Linked DNA regions of Caenorhabditis elegans. The protein of the gene in region 1 purifies or fractionates together with the protein of each later gene. This does not show direct contact. Each region holds a gene or a part of one and is shown on either strand. Other genes may lie near its edges. The genes, in order: akt-1 and wdr-48.

Region 1 (6,455 bases):
TTTCATCACTCCCACTCCTAAAATACTCTTAAAATTCATATTTCTTTGTTGTTTCATTCAGATGTAAATTAGTGTTCTCCCCTTAAATTTTTTCCAATAATATTCACCTCATAAAAAGCAGGGACAATTCATTTTTTGCAATTGTCGCGAAGCCTCTTCGTTTTCGTTTTGGGATGTAAACAACTCTAGCATGTACTATCTCGCTCTGTCTGCGGCTCGACGCCGCGCCTGTTCCCTCTCTCCGTCCGGCGTCACCGATCATCCATTCCGCGAAGCAAAGCACGCGCGGCCTTTGATCGAAACGTGCACTTTTCCGTACTGCTGTATACTACTGGCAACACCGATATTCGTGCCCGATATCTAACTCAACCGGAGTCTGGCAACACAACCGTTTTTTTTTTCGTTTTCGAACGTTCCTGTTTAAAAAAAAACGTTTAAAAAAGCTTTTCAATGCTTTCAAAAATTAATTAGATAGAAAAACTTTGTTTTCTATTTTTTTTTTTTTTTGGAGATTTCATCAACAACCCACATACTTTCTCTTTTTCCTTCATCAAGTTGTTTGTATTCGTCTCAAGACCGTCAGTTCAAGACCCGGTCTAACCCTATCGGCGCCTCTGTTTGTTGCTTTTCCTTCTTATTTTCCGGTTTTTCTCGCGTTCACTTAATCAAAAAATCATGGCATTGAAACCACATTCGAAGATTTTCTAATTTTGTTACTGAAAAAAAATCTGAAAAAGTGTCTATTTTTCAAATATATTCCCAATTTAACAGTTAATTCGTTATTATTATGTCTCTAATATATCGTTCCGATCGATTAAATTTAGGCACGTTCCGTCTGCGTCTTTCCACGTATGTGCTCCAGTTCCGCTCCTTCTCCCATGGCGTAATCACCCCGCTTTTTTGTATGTTCGTATGCCAGTCGTGGTGCATAATAATCTGTTTCTCTTCGAAAGCTCAGACAAGAGGCAGTGGCCTAATCACTAACTGCGAAAAGTGTATCAAAACCTCTCCTCTTGTTTTTACGTGATGATAATCCGCGTGGTTCATCTCTTCCTTTCTCATTCTCCGTCTCTTAATGTTTTCTCACGATTAATTTTTTTTCGTTTATAGGGTTTCTAAAGTGGCTTATAATTCAAGAGAAATTCTAGAGAAATAATAATTAACATGATTTCCGTAAATTGAATGCCTAATAAGGTTGAGTTAAAAACCAATAATTAAAAATAAGTCGTTTTTGTATATTTATACAGCCGTAAAATGGTTCTCAGACTATTGAAAATTTATCAACTTCAACCAATATGGTCTTTTTTCGCTTGTATACTTCGGCTCTCATAGTATCCCTATTCAAAAATTGTTTGCCGTTAATTTGTTATTCTATTTCACGTTGTTTTGTTGATTTTTCGATAACAAAAGTGCTCGTACATCACAGGTAAACTTTCTGTTTGCATGTTATACAGTATCGATGTGTATAAAATGCCAGAGATCAAAAACTTGAAATTTATGATCAGTGGCATGGTGTTATCGTAGAAATAATCTTGTTTTCCAAGCGGGCAATTCCAGAAAACCGATATTTTCTTTCTTATTTTCCACTGGTTGTCCGTTCCCGTTATTTCTGCTTCTCCTATCTCTTCCTTGTTGGAAAACAAAAAACCACAGACGAACACTCAGAAAACGATATTCTGAAGCAGCAGCGTTACTCATGATGTTGTTGCTGGGCAGTGTCTGAAAATGTTTTCGTGTTCTTGTTTCCGCTGAAATAGGGTCACCACCTCTTTTTTCTCTAAACTCCTATGTCTCTCTCTTCAAATTCTGTCAATTTCCGTCCCTCTGCTTTGTTTGTCACAAAACTCTCTCGTGTGTTTTTTCGCTTTTCTTTTTTTTTATGTTTTCCTTCATTTTCGAATTAAAAGTGTTAAAACTGATTTTCTTAAAAACATAATGAATCTCGATCAAAAAATATTCTAATTTTCAGTCGAAGACGTTACTTCTCCCGAAAGGTTTACGACGGCGCCGGTGAAAGAATGTCGATGACAAGCTTGTCAACGAAGTCTCGAAGACAAGAAGATGTTGTCATTGAGGGATGGCTTCACAAGAAAGGAGAGCACATTCGAAACTGGAGACCAAGGTTTGATTTTTCTATCGGTACTGATCATATATTACCACTGATTCGATAATTTTTATGCTCGAAAAAGTTAGTTAATGATTTCACATCAAAATTTATCTTGAAAACTCCGATGAGTCTTGTTCTCGTTAATCTTTTTATTTTTGTTTTCTACATAAATTCATATATCCGCTTCATCATATACGTCAACTGATTTGTTTTTGCCGCGCACTCGCTCTTATCATGCTTTTCCGGCTGAAAAATCTTCATAAACGTTTTTATGAAGGGGGAATGATGTGACTTCCTGGTAGAGCAGATGATTCTATGTTTGCTACGCTACATAGTACAACTATTCGCTTCAGAATATAATTATTTTCAAACGACTGAAATTAACCGAAAATTAAAGATATCTATGAAATATTCACGATTGCTAAAAACGTATATCATTTTCCTAACAGACAGTACATTGAAAAATTGAATAATAGCAACACGGAAGTGAAACTGTTGTGATTACAGAAAACTCAAAAAATGAAAAACACGATTTTGTGCAGTATTTTTGGATGGTTTTTTTGTTTTTGAGTGTGCATGTCTTCTATCCATAAGTATGTCACCCTTCTCATTTAATGTTCCAAAATAATAAACACATGTGAACGGCGAGTGAGCGATGCGAAAAATAATCAAATTGAAAAAAGAGAGAATGAGTGAGTGCGGAAGTTGAGAGTGACTGAAAACATTTTAAAAAGAAACTCGTCAGAGTGACATAACAAAAAAAACAAAGATGATAAAAGATTGAAAGTTAATGACGTAGAATAATTTCAGATACTTCATGATATTCAATGATGGAGCCTTACTTGGATTTCGAGCAAAGCCTAAGGAAGGACAACCGTTTCCTGAGCCATTGAATGATTTTATGATCAAGGATGCAGCGGTAAGTAGAGATGAGCTTATTTTTCTAAACATCATTCTGCAAAATCATCTACTTTTGCAATATTTTATTTTCAGACAATGTTATTCGAAAAACCACGACCTAACATGTTCATGGTAAGATGCCTTCAGTGGACAACTGTCATTGAGCGAACATTCTATGCGGAGTCGGCAGAAGTTCGTCAGCGTTGGATTCATGCTATTGAGAGCATTTCAAAAAAATACAAAGGCACAAATGCAAATCCACAAGAGGAATTAATGGAAACCGTAAAAATTACACCTTGATCCAGCTTTTTTGAAAAATTCTTTTAGAATCAGCAGCCAAAAATTGATGAAGACAGTGAATTTGCTGGTGCAGCGCATGCAATTATGGGTCAACCATCTTCGGGACACGGTGATAATTGTTCAATTGACTTCAGAGCGTCTATGATTAGTATTGCTGACACCAGCGAAGCTGCTAAAAGAGACAAAATCGTAAGAAAACCTATCTGATAAAAACCTTTGCAAAAAAAATTACAGACAATGGAAGATTTCGATTTTCTCAAAGTGCTCGGTAAAGGAACATTCGGAAAAGTTATCTTGTGCAAGGAAAAGCGTACTCAAAAGCTTTATGCCATCAAAATTCTCAAAAAAGATGTAATCATTGCTCGCGAAGAAGTTGCTCACACTTTGACAGAAAATCGAGTTCTTCAAAGATGCAAGCATCCGTTCCTTACGGTATGTTTTTTATAAAACTATTTTTATTTATTGATTCAGTTCACTCACTTTTGTTTAAATTTTAACCCCAGCACGTCCTTCTCCTATAATCTTCTACCCCTGAGAGTACAATTATTGTCGTAATTTTTATTGTTTTCCCATAGTGTTTGTGGTCGTATTTTCAGGAACTGAAATATAGTTTCCAAGAGCAACACTATCTTTGTTTTGTGATGCAGTTTGCGAATGGTGGAGAACTTTTTACGCATGTACGTAAATGTGGAACATTTAGTGAACCAAGAGCCCGATTCTACGGAGCCGAGATCGTTCTTGCTCTCGGATACCTTCACCGATGCGATATTGTCTACCGTGATATGAAGGTTCGACGATGAAGAATCTGAATGACGAGCCGAACATAGATTATTTTGTTTCAAAAATGTTTTACAACTATCCGCAGTTGAATTTTACGTAGGATAGCAAGATTCAAACACTTAGAACGTTATGCTATCAACTTATTTATTTTACATTGTAAGTAGTAATGTCTCAGTTTATGTCATGCTTCTTTTTTTTCTTCTTATGGTAACGCTTCTTTTCCGATTCACTAATTTATCTTCTTAGTTCGCAACCCTATAGTTTTTATTCTCTTTCCACGCTTTATTTCTGTATTACTGCAGGAACTGAAATACTCGTTTCAAACAAACGATCGTCTGTGTTTCGTAATGGAGTTTGCCATTGGCGGTGATCTCTATTATCATCTAAATCGAGAAGTGCAGATGAACAAAGAGGGTTTCTCAGAACCTCGAGCCCGTTTCTATGGCTCTGAGATCGTCCTTGCTCTCGGATATCTTCATGCAAATAGCATTGTTTATCGAGATTTGAAGGTTAGAAAAATGTTTATTTATAGAAGTAGAATACAGTAGTCACATAGCGGATAGTTGTAGAACATGTAAAAACTAAGAAAACTATCGGCTCGCCATTCGGATTTTCCCCAAGTCTGTATACAAGTTAAATTATATTTTTTAAGCTTGAAAATTTGCTTCTTGACAAAGATGGACATATTAAAATTGCGGATTTTGGATTATGTAAAGAAGAAATCAGTTTTGGTGACAAAACAAGTACTTTCTGTGGAACTCCGGAGTATCTTGCACCAGAGGTAAAAAAATCTCACTCACTTCTCACATTTAAATGTTTTAATTGCAGGTTCTTGATGATCATGACTACGGACGTTGTGTTGATTGGTGGGGAGTTGGAGTTGTGATGTACGAGATGATGTGTGGAAGGCTTCCATTTTATTCGAAGGATCATAATAAACTATTCGAACTTATCATGGCTGGTGATCTAAGGTTCCCAAGCAAGTTGAGTCAAGAAGCTAGAACTTTGCTCACCGGACTTCTTGTCAAAGATCCAACTCAGCGATTGGGTGGTGGACCCGAAGATGCATTGGAGATTTGTAGAGCAGACTTTTTCCGTACTGTCGATTGGGAAGCAACGTACAGAAAAGAAATCGAGCCACCATATAAGCCAAATGTGCAGTCAGAAACTGATACTAGTTACTTTGATAATGTGAGTTGACTAATACATTTTAAATTTTTTCACTAGAAACAAAGATTTTATTTTAGGAATTCACATCTCAACCAGTTCAACTGACACCGCCTAGTAGAAGCGGAGCCCTTGCTACAGTCGATGAGCAAGAAGAAATGCAATCAAACTTCACACAATTCTCATTCCACAATGTTATGGGAAGTATCAATCGAATTCATGAAGCAAGTGAAGACAACGAAGATTATGATATGGGATAATTTGACACCACAATGGCTTGAATTTAATTAATTGCGATTTTAGCCTGTTTTGCAGACTGTAGAAAACTGACCCCTTTGTCTGACATTCAGATATCCTTTTTTAAACAAATATTTAGTCGTTACAGTGACTATATTTTGATCTATTCTCAGTAAATATCGAATTAAAATGAGAAATCTCTTTGTTTTCATCTCTTCCTGTTCTGCCTCCTTCCCTTTGTATACTATCCTTTTTATTCACCTGAGACCGTAGTTCTTTCCATTTCAAAATTCCATCATCGTTTTGTAATATTACTCACAAGCTACGGTTGTGAAAACCAAATAGCGCCATCATTCGTGGATGTACTATGTTCCTATATCATATCCAACAATCCAAATGAAAGAATTTTATCCTCGTATTTTTATTATGGAATGACAAAATATGAACAAAGAAACATGCGAAATAAATAACAGATCAGTACTATAAATTAGATCTTTCCAGTAACAAACTCGTGAACAATCTGTGGTACAGCCGAATCGAATCCGGTAATGTCGAGCATACCAGCATCAGATGGATCGGCAATCGAGTAGTCATATGCCTGCATTGCCATCACAATGACCTTCGCGTCATGAATACCAGAAGCTTCACGATACTTTTTGATGGCTTCGAATGGATGAATCTCTCCAGCCCAGGTATCGTTGTCGGTGTAGATAATGAAGACATCAAACTTGAGATTATTTTCTGTTGCCCAAGTCATTGGAAGGCCACAATCTGTTCTGCCGAACTGAAAATTCAATAATTTAATATTAAATTCAATATTAAAATCATTATGAAACTTACATCAAGGTTGTTAACGTAGTCATTAACTTGTCCGATCTTCCAATCCTTAGTAAACGGAAGCTCAGTGAGCTTATCACAGAAGGCGACACATCTAACTTCGGCTTCATTGTGAAGGTTGATCAAA
Region 2 (5,509 bases), on another chromosome or scaffold:
TTTGTTACGTGGATTCGATCCATCTCTCATCAATTGAATACATGATTTTAATGAAGGAACTGCGTCGGTGCACTGAAATATTTAAATATATTGAATTACTTGAATAAAACGACCAAATTCAATGATCATAGCTGGTCAAAATTTTACTAAAAAAATATGTTCGGTTGACTAACTTTCTTATTTTGAATCTCTTCTGAAAGTGGTTTCCGATGATTCGCTTCAAACGCCAACACTGATGTTTGATATATCGATGGTCGCCGATTTACGTCGATATCGAGAAGCATGTCTAGAAAATCAAGTATTTTTGTTCGTATTTAAATATCATTTTCTTACAAATCAAAACTTTGATCTCGTCGGGAATATTTGGAACGGATGGAAATTGATAATTGACAGATTGAATTGCTAACGGTGATTCTTCGAAAGGAACACAGAAAAAGCATAGCCTGTATAGAAGAACGCCCAGTGCCCAGATATCAGATTTTAGGCCTGAAAAAATAAAGAATTCGACTTTTTCATTGCATTCCTTCAATTTTTTAATACTAAAAACGAACCAATCTCTAATCCACTGTAAAAATCAATCATTTCAGGCGATCGATAACACATAGTCGTATTCCTTTCCACTTCTGACTTCACATATTCTACTCCATACTTTTCCACAGATAAAATTTGAGTGGTAGCACTTCCAAAATCGCAGAGAACGTAATGTGGTGGTTTATGGGAAGAAATGAGTACATTTTCAACTTTTAAATCGCGATGAATGATAGGTTGTGGCCGATTATGAATGAAGGATACGGCTTCACAGAGATCCGTGAAAATTGAGAGAATCTCGTCGTTTGTTAAATATTGGTTTTGAGATATTCTTTCGTTCATCAATTGCAAGACGTTTTCTGGAAAAAATATGATGATTTTTCAAAGTTTTCCATGTTTTATTTAATATTTTAATTATGATTTATTTTCCGGTGTTATCTCACTCACTTTGATGATATTCTGTCAACAGCATGCATTCCCAAATACCATTTCCAAGGCAATTTGTATAACTGTCAACGAATTCCACAATATTTTTATGACCAATACATTGTTTCTGAAAGATCATACAACATTTGCAAGTTTATTCGAGCTTCTTCTCACCAGAAAACTGTGCTCTCTGCAACATGCCTCCAGCTGTTTCTCATTGTCTTTGGTGAATTGACGTTTCAAGGCGAATTTATTGTTTTTTCTATCGCTCGCAACGTAGACGATTGCAAATCCACCTGGAAGAAAAATATTGCGAAATATTCAGAAAAACAAGAACAATTATGGAGTTTAATAAGAGGATTAAATTTAAAAAACCTACCTTCGGCGATTTGCTTCTCTATAGTGACTCGTGTATGGTCTAACTTCAATGTGACACCTGAAAATTCAATTAAAAATGAAAGAAACTGTTAAATGTTCAAATACCTTTGCATTTATTCTCACTTAATTGTTTCGGTTCCTTTTTCTTGCCTCCAGGAATTTTTTCATCACACAGAACTTGTGCTTTTCCAGAGCTGAAAAGCCCTAGAGGCATGGCTTTTCGCCTGAAATTAGTAAATTTTAATAAAAGAGTTTCAATATTTGATGAGAGTGATATCGAAAAACGAAAAATTTTCATCAAAACTAGATTTTCTCGAGCGAACAAATTGATCGACAGGAGAAAAGAGTGTCGGAACGCAGGGAGGCGGGGCGCAATAATGGGCGTGGCTGAATTGCAAACATGCGGCGCAGTTTTTGTTGTCTTTTTCGCACAGAGCTCTTTTAAAACATGTTTTGTTGTTTTTATTGACAAAAGTCTATAATTTGCCGTATACTTTTGTTTTTCTTCATTTTTTTTTCTGAAAACCATCATAACATTCTATATAAGATACCGTTAATTAATTTTTTGCATTAAAAATAACTTTTTTCTCGCAAATCGATGAATCTTTTAACTAGAAATATTTGTCATCACTATTTTCCAGATCTCAAAAGGCGTTCAATGCAATAAAATGAGTAGCTGTGTAAATACCAGTCAAACTGGTCCAAAAAAGAAAATCTCATTTATCATTCGCGATGAGCACGAGTATTCAAATCGTTCGGCTGTCAGTGCTCTGCAATATGATGCACAAAACGGAAGACTGTTCACTGGCGGCAGTGACACTATAATCAGAACATGGTCAGTGCCACACCACAAGGTTTGATATATAAACTATGAATTCTAAAAAATACCGAATAAATTCATGATCAGGACGCTTTCTCGGCACGTGGCGGAGTTCGTTCGCCAGGAAAGAATTCTCCAGTTCAGTATCAAGGATCATTAGAACAGCATACCGATTGGGTGAACGATATGATTCTTTGTGGACATGGAAAAATTCGTGAGTGGTTTTGCGATATTTCTGCAAATTATATAAATATATTTCTTTCAGTAATTTCGGCCTCAAATGACACAACTGTCAAAGTTTGGAATATCGAACGGGACAACAAGCACGGATTTATCGATTGTATCCGAACTCACAAGGTTTGTGAAACTTTTCTCTTTAATTATTAAGAATGAATAAAATTCAGGACTACGTTAGTTGCTTGGCCTACGCACCGATTGTAGAGAAAGCTGTGAGCGCAAGTTTCGATCACAATATTTTCGTGTACGATATCAATGCTAACTTCAAAACTGTAAATAATCTAATTGGCTGCAAGGACAGCATCTACTCACTCGCCACAACTCCTAATTTATCGCTTGTTCTTGGTGCTGGAACGGAAAAGGTGAGGAATTTTAGCATTCTAGCCTTCTACTAGTTTTTATTTTCAGTGCATTCGCCTTTTCGATCCAAGAACCAATGAGAAAATAATGAAATTACGTGGTCACACAGATAATGTACGTGCGCTGGTGGTCAATGATGATGGAACACGCGCACTTTCTGCTGGATCAGATGCCACAATTCGACTGTGGGACATTGGACAACAGAGATGCATTGCCACGTGTATTGCTCATGAAGAAGGAGTTTGGACTCTTCAAGTACTGATCCTCTCTGATAAAATCTTATTAGAATCTATGATTTTTAGGTTGACTCATCGTTTACAACGGTTTACAGCGCAGGAAAGGACAAAATGGTTGTGAAAACTCCGTTATATGATTTCACTAAAAGTCAGCTTCTGTTCAAAGAAGAAGCCCCTGTGAAAAAGTTACTTTTAAGTGAAAAAGATAATCCAGTATCTCTTTGGGTCGGAACCTGGAAGTCTGATATCAAGCGGTAAAAGAATTATTTTATTAAAAAAATAAACTTTCAGTTTTCAGCTGGTCCATCCGCCCATCAGCCCAACTTTCGATTGGAGGAGACGAAGATGGTCCTTCAACTTCAAATGCAAATCACTCAGTATCAGCTTCATCATCACCTCCAGTAACATTCAAGTATATCCGAGTGAAGGATCAAAAAGGACAACAGAGCACACCAGAGCTCGTTATTCCTGGTAAACAGACTATATGCAGATATAATTTTTAATCTGTTTATTCAGGCGCTCCTGCCATCAAGAAACATGCCATGTTGAGCGACAAACGACACGTTTTGACACGAGACTCGGATGGAAATGTGGCGCTATATGATGTTTTAGCAGCAAGAAAGGTTTGTCCCCATTATTAAAAGTTACTACTTGAATTTTGATAAAATTTCAGATAAAAGATTATGGAAAGCGAATATTTGAAGAAGTTGTCGATGAGAACTCTAGGCAAGTATACATTCCAAGCTGGTTTGTCGTTGATTCAAAAAGTGGAGTGAGTTTTAAGTTTTATAAATTTTTGAAAAATAAAACCCTATTCGATTTCAGATGCTCCAAATCACTTTGGACGAGCTGGACGCTCTCTCCTCGTGGCTTTCATCAAAAGACGCAGGTTTTGATGATAATGATCGAGAGACAAAACGTAAGATATTATACGAAAATAAAAACTTTCTCATTCCTTTGTAAGAAATTATAGTGAATTACGGTGGAATGATGCTACGATCACTCTTCGAACGATGGCCACCTTGTAAAATGACAAATGTTGATGCAGCTGATGCAGATGATGTGCAAAAAGCAACACTGAATTTTATTTCTCTACCGGAACACACACCGCTTATTATTTGGTAAAATTATTTGAAGGCTCAAATTTTAAACATTAAAAAAACTAATTTCAGCGAAGGAAATGGTCGTCCGCTCTACCGTCTTCTTGTTGGCGACGCTGGGAAGGAGTTCGAAGCAAATGAGCTGGCACAAATTGCACCCATGTGGGTTATAGACGCAATCGAACGAAATCAGCTGCCGAAATTCAATAAAATGCCATTTTATCTTCTTCCACATCCGTCGACAAATCCCAAACAGCCTAAAAAGTTTGTGAAAACGCGGGGTTCATTCATTAAAATTTTGAACTATTTTCAGAGATCGTCTGTCAGCAACTGAAATGCTTCAAGTTAAGAAAGTGATGGAGCATGTTTACGAAAAAATACTCAGCACTAATGATGGTAAGGTATTTAGAAATAAGAAGATATTAATGGTGTTTGAAGATATTACAGTTGGCTCGATTCCACTAAATCAAATTCATACAAAAATGGAAATGTACTGCAATGATCAGAGGTTGGAGCCGGATATGGATTTGCGAACAGTCAAGCATCTCTATTGGAAGCAAAGTGGAGAGCTTCTTCTACATTATAAACCAGTTAAATAGCTTTAACATTTAATTTAAGTTATTTATTTGAACATACTTATCTAACATTTGTACTTTATTGAAAATTCACTGTCTAACTTCTTTTTTGATACGGGTAAAACCGACTTTCAATTAAATTCCATGCTCTTTCCATATGTCTTTCTTTCTTTTTTAAAATTATGATGGTTTAACTACCAGCTTATCTTCATTTCTTGCTTAATATTTTTACCTCCTACCGTATTCGTTCCAGATGGCTAGTTTGGAAGAACATGAAAAACTGATCGAAGTAGGTTTTATTGAAATTTCTTCCAATTTTAAGCCAATTTTTTTCAGGAGTGGAGAAACGATTACATCGCAGAACGCAGTTCGAAAAAGGGATGGGAGATTCTGGAAAAACTTGCAAAGATGCAAATTGAAGCGGCTCAGCAAATGGAGTACGTTAAATGAATATCAGATAGTATCAAAATGAAATTATTTCAGAACAGAAGATGACGTGGCCGCTGCTGATTTTGATGACTTCAGCACCAGCAAGCTTGTAAAATTGATTATTGGAGATATTTCAACCAAAGATCTTCTTGTCGATCATCAGGTACCTGACATCAATTTTTAGACTATTCTAATCTAATAAAAAAAAATTCTAATAAAAATTGTAATATCTCAATCTTTTACAGATAATTCTTCTCGAATTCATTCCATCTGCACATCCGAATATTCTTCGCCATGTAGTCCGCACAGTCCGTGAGAAGGAAGGAGCGATTTCCCTTTTGAAGTCATCATCGGTTGCAATTGGAGTTGCATTTGCTCGAAGAGTTACAGATGCTGAAGCTGGAGAGGAAGTTGGACGTC

Evidence for each region.
Region 2: the proteins of akt-1 (region 1) and wdr-48 fractionate together in Caenorhabditis elegans (co-fractionation; one large-scale study listed by BioGRID). This does not show direct contact.

Annotation. Positions count from the first base shown.
Region 1 is NC_003283.11:10,246,938-10,253,392, forward strand, and holds akt-1 (Serine/threonine-protein kinase akt-1), read left to right. Parts: upstream 1-1,967; 5' UTR 1,968-2,018; coding exon 2,019-2,122; intron 2,123-2,917; coding exon 2,918-3,026; intron 3,027-3,100; coding exon 3,101-3,289; intron 3,290-3,334; coding exon 3,335-3,496; intron 3,497-3,541; coding exon 3,542-3,739; intron 3,740-3,903; coding exon of another isoform or gene 3,904-4,095; intron 4,096-4,389; coding exon 4,390-4,596; intron 4,597-4,739; coding exon 4,740-4,868; intron 4,869-4,915; coding exon 4,916-5,278; intron 5,279-5,334; coding exon 5,335-5,514; 3' UTR 5,515-5,908; downstream 5,909-6,455. Other genes in the region: rop-1 (RNA-binding protein RO60), read right to left, coding at 5,979-6,275, 6,332-6,455. UniProt on the Caenorhabditis elegans protein: Acts downstream of PI3 kinase age-1 and kinase pdk-1 in the daf-2/insulin receptor-like transduction pathway.
Region 2 is NC_003281.10:4,576,882-4,582,390, forward strand, and holds wdr-48 (WD repeat-containing protein 48 homolog), read left to right. Parts: upstream 1-2,000; coding exon 2,001-2,186; intron 2,187-2,239; coding exon 2,240-2,366; intron 2,367-2,417; coding exon 2,418-2,509; intron 2,510-2,556; coding exon 2,557-2,751; intron 2,752-2,797; coding exon 2,798-3,004; intron 3,005-3,051; coding exon 3,052-3,239; intron 3,240-3,283; coding exon 3,284-3,456; intron 3,457-3,501; coding exon 3,502-3,608; intron 3,609-3,658; coding exon 3,659-3,757; intron 3,758-3,810; coding exon 3,811-3,904; intron 3,905-3,958; coding exon 3,959-4,106; intron 4,107-4,157; coding exon 4,158-4,349; intron 4,350-4,398; coding exon 4,399-4,684; 3' UTR 4,685-4,805; downstream 4,806-5,509. Other genes in the region: Serine/threonine-protein kinase sel-5, read right to left, coding at 1-72, 174-286, 334-486, 552-887, 976-1,081, 1,129-1,250, 1,334-1,390, 1,438-1,546; F35G12.12 (26S proteasome non-ATPase regulatory subunit 5), read left to right, coding at 4,914-4,949, 4,997-5,097, 5,144-5,252, 5,335-5,509. UniProt on the Caenorhabditis elegans protein: Together with wdr-20, binds to and stimulates the activity of the deubiquitinating enzyme usp-46, leading to deubiquitination and stabilization of the glr-1 glutamate receptor.